2 linked regions of the Oryzias latipes genome follow. The protein of the gene in region 1 interacts with the protein of each later gene in a pairwise test. Links are inferred from orthologs where the notes say so. Each region holds a gene or a part of one and is shown on either strand. Other genes may lie near its edges.

The links.
Region 2: the proteins of abl1 (region 1) and msh5 interact in binary tests that used the Homo sapiens proteins (3 or more experiments, as listed by UniProt). The link is inferred for Oryzias latipes from reciprocal best matches to the Homo sapiens genes ABL1 and MSH5.

What each region holds. Positions count from the first base shown.
Region 1 is NC_019870.2:12,806,925-12,810,755, forward strand, and holds part of abl1 (tyrosine-protein kinase ABL1), read right to left. Parts: intron 1,846-3,831; coding exon 1,690-1,845; intron 913-1,689; coding exon 617-912; intron 1-616. UniProt on the Homo sapiens protein: Non-receptor tyrosine-protein kinase that plays a role in many key processes linked to cell growth and survival such as cytoskeleton remodeling in response to extracellular stimuli, cell motility and adhesion, receptor endocytosis, autophagy, DNA damage response and apoptosis.
Region 2 is NC_019874.2:17,863,338-17,865,880, forward strand, and holds part of msh5 (mutS protein homolog 5), read right to left. Parts: intron 2,536-2,543; coding exon 2,426-2,535; intron 2,308-2,425; coding exon 2,227-2,307; intron 2,144-2,226; coding exon 2,056-2,143; intron 1,967-2,055; coding exon 1,899-1,966; intron 1,420-1,898; coding exon 1,301-1,419; intron 1,204-1,300; coding exon 1,077-1,203; intron 821-1,076; coding exon 671-820; intron 467-670; coding exon 392-466; intron 1-391.

The sequences.
Region 1 (3,831 bases):
AGGAGGAAGTTTGTTGTGTTTGCATGTGTTTAGTGCCTGCTTGTTTGTTTTTAACTGTCGGTGCTAAAACATATCTTAGCATTACAGTCAGTGTTTGGGTCTGCAGCTCTTCACAAGAAGCCCAGTGGCATTCTTGTCAAAGCTGGAGCTCACCTCACTGCATCATGGGGAGGTGGGCAACGGAGGCAACACTAAATATTTCACCCTTTATCCAAAACCCTCTCAAGTCTTTTGTTTTCACCTGTTTTAGTAATAGTCGGGTCTTGTTTGAAGTCTTTTTGGTACATCCAATCCGCACTGAAGATTTAAAAAATTGACGGAACAAACCTTTAACAAAGCTTTAAATTCACCTAAATTTCTCTCACAAAGGTTTTGACTGATTTCTAATATTTCTGTCTCAGATACAGACCCCCCCCCCCCCATTTCCAGATTTCGAATAAAATCAAAGCTTCTCCTCTAGCTTTTGAACTATTATTTGGCAGATCTGAGAAAGAACAATTTGAAACTATTAATCATTTTCATCATAAAAGTGCCCTTATGCAAAAAGAGAAAAGGATACACAAGATGAACATTAGTTTGATGGCTCATCATCGCAGGAACAAAATACAGTCTTTACCTTGCCGTCAGATGCAGTGTTAATCCTGTAATGGTAGACTCTCCCCTCATAACGTAGAGAAATGGACCTCTGTCCGGGACTGCTTTCGCTCTCTCGCACCAGGAAGCTTCCGTTGATGCCTGAGCTGAGGAGGTACTCGGCAGCGTTGCGCGACACGGGTCCATGATACCAGCTGTGCTTCTCCAGGCTGTTAACTGGGGTGATGTAGTTGGATGGGACCCAACCTTGGCCGTTCTTGGTCTGTGCCTCGCACCACTCGCCATTGTGGTTGTAACCCAGCACACGCAACTTCTCTCCTAACCGAGAGAGCAACAGAGTGCAATTATAGTCCATGTTCTCTGGGGTTGAGAACAGGCGTTTTAATAAAACTTTCATCTGGAATTCAAGGGCTTATATTCCACGTTATGTTGTTGACCCAAACCCATGAAGTTAATCTCTAACTGACTAGTTTGGATTGAAAAGATCTCAATGATAAAACCACTAAAGGTCATTTCATTTTTGTGAAATAAAAACTGTTAAACCATAAGGCGCAACAGATGAACCCCCAAAAAAACCCGGAGGTGTATTACATTTCTATGGAAAGTCTTGTTTTTCCAGACATATTCCTGTTTATTCCGGAGTCTAGGTTCCCTCCTTCCTTCATTTGTCTGTGTCATCCATCTGCAGTATTGTTCAACAGTGTGCTCAGTGGGAAAAGCCCCATGTGTGAGAGCATGGTCAGGAAGTGAGAGTCTGATGGGACTGAGGACAGAAGGGGGAGCACAGAGGATGCAAATAAGGAGATTCCCATTAGCAGTGACAACTTTACAGACATGTGTTATCTCCATTTCACTTCCAGAACAAAGAAGCAGAAAAAGAATCCTATTCAATCTAGTGTGAGTCACGTCTTCCTAGAAGAGCTGTTCTATCTAAAAACTGGGAAATGGACAGCATTTCCTATCTGAATGATAAACCTACTTGTCTGTTATCCCCATATTCATATCTCCCAAACTTCTTTCTACTTTTTTTTTTTTTTTTTGCTTTTAAATGTTGGCAAAGCCAAAAGACACTAAACTGAAAGCGTTTTTCCTTACCTTTCGTAATGCTTAGTGTGTTATCTCCACTGGCAACGAAATCATAGAGTGCAACAAACAGGTTGGGGTCATTCACACTGGGACCTGCCAACAGATTCTCTTTGGAGTTCCAACGGGCTGCATCTCCTAGACCAAACTCGGGTCGCTGTAGAGCTTCTAGGACAAACAGAGACAGGAACATTAGCAGAAGGCTTACATTGTACTTAACTTTCATTCAAACATTGGCAGCAACAAGACAGATTCATGACTAAAAGAGCCACTGTGGGATCTGCAGCAGTGCGGGTGCAGATGATTCTGCAAGAACCCTTAAAAATGTGCAACAAGCTCTTTCACCTCTCCTCTAGCTTGTTCTTACAAAGCCTTTAAGACCATTTCGGATTTTTGTCAGAATTTGTGTCAGCACAACTTTTCATTTCCTGGATTAACTCTATTTAGCAAAAACTTTCTATAATACTCCAAGCAAGTTAAATAACCCCCACTAAACCAGGAGAATATGTCTCAGCATGAAACTTCTTGGGTTCTGTAAAACAGTGCACAGACCTAAGGCATTCAGTCATGTTAATTACATACACTTTATGAATTATAGCAATTTTAAGACTGGAAACTAAAGTTCAAAGTTTTATAATCTCCCCATTATTAGGGGGGAAGGACTATTGTGTTTTATCTAAAAAATCAGGCTTAAATACAGTGCTTCTTCACACCCCCAGTGAGATCCAAGACGGTTTAAAATTAAGCACTAAGATAATTGAAGCAAGCCTAAAGAAGCCACAATTATCCATCAAAACCTCAAAAGGATAAGACAGATCCAAAATGGAATCACAGAGCCTCCCTCCTCCCCCAAGTAATGGAAAAATAAATGACTGACTAGTGATATGAATTATCTACAGATTAAGTGCCACATTTGAAGGTTTTATTGCAGAGCTATATGGGCATGCTGGGAAATTATAGGACCGTTACCACGTCAAAATTCCTAAAGATGCGAGTTATTGTTTAAAAACACTCATGCTGACTTTGTTTTCTGCGAGCCATTGTTTGAAAAATAATAATTTGTTCTCTCTGTCATCCACTCAGTCTTCTCTCATCAGATTTCTCAATTACTTCACAATCCAACCGTGTTTATAGAAAAGCCTCAGTGGACCTGTGGTTGACGGACAACAAGGATTTGGCGTCCAGTTCCTTTCTTTCAGATGAAACTCAACTTAATTAAGTCCAACACTTGCATACACTGAAAATGGGGTATTGTTTATATCATCTTAATACCAACAAGATAACCGTAAGCTATGCCGATGCATTTTATTAGCTTCTGGCAAGTAAGCCTCATTATCCAAAAGCATCACACCTACCCTGATTGGCTGTGATCTTTGGAGGTGTTCAGCCCAGGAAGCCTGTGTGCATTAATAAAAATTCCCCGAACTGCTTTGGCAACACACAAGGGTTGAATTCCCTTCCAGCACCAGTCAAGAATCTACTTTCATTTCGTCATCTAGAGTTGGAGCGCTGCACTCTTCTCCCCAGCTCAGTTATGTGCAAAGGTATGTGTCAAAGACAGTTGTATCTAAAGGGGATTCACAGATCACAAAAAAATGAAAAGGCTAACAAAGCTTAAGAAATCTGTCGTGTGCCTCTGCAAATGACATGAGATGCGTCATCAAAAGAGCATTGCTAATGTTGGTAAGAAATAAGCCTGTATAATAAAAATAAGAAAATCACAAACTTATTGTTGTCGTGATATAAGCTTGTGTGATATGTGTATCACAAAAGATGGCGCAAACTGCAATAAATTACCTTCAATGTATAAAGTATTTAATCAAATAAAGCCTTTTACGCATTTGACCAATTGTATGGACCCCTTTAGGTCATTGACCAATCGAATGGAGAGCTTTCATGTTAGATGTCTGCCTCCTATGTAGATGTCAAGAGTATAATTTAAGGTATGTTGACTTTTATTTAAATGAAACTGCTGCAGTGAAATGGAAACGATGTTTTAGTTGTTTTTTGTTTTGCTATTTGTTCATGGATCGCAGGTTTTCCTCATATGGTGCAGCTCCAGTTAGAAACATTACAAGAGTCATATTGCGACACAAGTAAAGCTGTAGCAGGCACTCTTAAAACATTTTTAAATCAGGTGTAATTACGTATTAC
Region 2 (2,543 bases), on another chromosome or scaffold:
CATAAAGAATCTTCCAGAAATGTTCATTTTTTTAGGTTTTACTTTGACCAATTGGAGACATCAAATCTGGCTTGAAAAAAAAAAAGTAGAGAGCATCCGAATTGCATCAACATCCAGGGCATTAGACAATACTATATACTACGCACTGTAGTCTTTTAGGTGTTTAGGGAGTAGTGAGGGAATTCAGATATGGCTCTACTCACTGCAGCGTTAAGAAAAGACACATCTGCGTATCTGCAGGAGTCAACAGCTGGTATTGCTTTTTCTTTCATTGGTTGACTAATTTCTGGTTGATCTGAGTGTTTGTTTCAAATAAAGGGCATTTTGTCTCTTTGTAAGGCTCATAAACAGGCGTCTAAATCCCATGACAACTTGAAATGTTTCTTCTTACCGAGTTCGTCCCTTTTCCAAATTCATCAATGAGTAATAATGAGTTGCCAGTACTGCTGTTCAGAGCCTGGGCCATCTGGAGAGGAGAGACAGACTGTGGTTCACCACTTTGTTCTTTTATTGTTTGCACGACGGCAGTGAGAAGAACAACCAGCACTTCATAGAACCTCTTAACAGTTGGAGAGTGGGAACAGAGATGGAAGCTGTTTGTATTTCTTTCTGTGCAGCAAACACAAATGACACGTTTGAGTAAAAAGGCGAGGCGACGTCTGTGAGGAACCTGGTTGAGGTCGATCATGAAGGTGCTGAGGCCCACAGACACAGACTCTCTGCTCTGCATGCGCGTGTAGATGCCGTCCACCAAACCGATTTCTGCTTCCTTCGCCGGTACATCCGAGCCGATCAGAGCCATGAAAACGATCAGACCCACCTTACAAAAGCAAAAACAACATGCGTCGCTAACCAACAACCCTGCAGCTATTGAACATTTAAAATAAGATTTAACTCAATGGAGCAAATAGTGAATCAATTGAAAACACACTATAAAGGCTGATTATGCACAGAAGACATGCAGAAGACAAAAAAAGATCCAGGACCACCCAAAATGTCAGCATAGATCAGTTTTTAGGAAGCTGGTTATGGCATATACACAGTATCATACAGTAAAAAAAAGGATGGTGTCCCACCTGCTTAAGGTAGATACTTTTGCCTGAAGAATTGGGACCGGTGATGATCTTAACTCTTCCCTCTTTATCAAAGCTCTGGAAGGAATTTGCCACAAAGACAGGAGAGCAGAGCTCCAGCAGTGGATGTCTGCAGACAGAAAAAGAGAAAAATAAAGGTTAGGATTATGGGGAAGTTTCACTGCATCTTAATTATTTATACCCAATGTTTGTGTGCCTAGCCGTACCTGCCCTGTGTGATTGTTATTTTTTTGTGGCTGGCCAGCTTGGGGGAAGTGTAACTGTACTCCTGGGAGGCACTGCTCATAGCCATCAGGCAGTCCAGCTCAGCAATAAGATCCAGAACCTGCACATTGTGTACATACAGTAAATTCCTGCATTACCTGAGGCACCACTGTGGTTAAAAATGCATAACCCAACTGCTTGCCTACTTAAAAACCCTCATTCGGATCAGATCAAAGATGGAAATCACAGCTGAATATGTAATTTACGGTAAAATGAAGGGAAATACATGTGAAGCAAATAAAAAATGAAAATATTGCTGCTTTTGCTGTAATAACATTGAAAAGAAAAATGAAGGTAATGTGTGAACCCTTTATTCCTCTACACAAATGGAAACATCTTAAAGAATTCAATTGGTGTGTCAAATACAAAAACAGGTTTGTACAGTAGTATCCACCAGCTGACCTTCACTCACACTTCCCTTTTACATAACATCTGCAATCATGGAAATTGTCAAAAGGTGAAATAGAATCTGGGTCAAGATCATGTCTGTTTGTCATGAATCACAACTTAACATGACCACACAGAGAGCCATCAACCCACCTGATAAAGAGAAGGACTCCTCTCTAGGATTGCATTCTGCAACTGGGTCATCACTGCGGTTTCCATATCTTTGAGACCCAAACAAACAAAACATCATAAATATGTGCAAAGAGCTACGCTGATTTGTCATTACTGTAAAAATAAAAAATAAAACTACCTCTGATGTCACAGTGCATGTCTCCAAGAAGCTCGTCGAGCTCCCTGGTTCTCTGGCTGCGGTAGTGCAATCGATCCTCCGACAGAAACTAACAGATGAGACTTTAGATCAATATTCTCTGGTTTTCAAAGAAAAGAACACAAAATACAAACCCCAGGACTACAAACGCACCATAAATTCAAGACCCTCCATCTCAAAGTCCTCCTTCTCCACCATGCTTGGCAGCCGTGGCAAAGAGAGCAGAAATCCAATCTGTAACGATAAATATACTCTGATCCAGAAAAAAAACAGCTTTCACAATCAGAATTATAATTCCAATGCCTGAAAACAAAAAAGTGTTTTTTTTTTTCTAGAAAGGTAGTGATCTGACCAAAGGGATGTAAATGACACAACACGATGGAACGCGAGGATCCAGATGTTCAAGTTCTCTTCGAGCAACGTCCGTCAGGAAGTCGGACAGTCCCGCCATCCTCCTTTTCTCTGGCAGG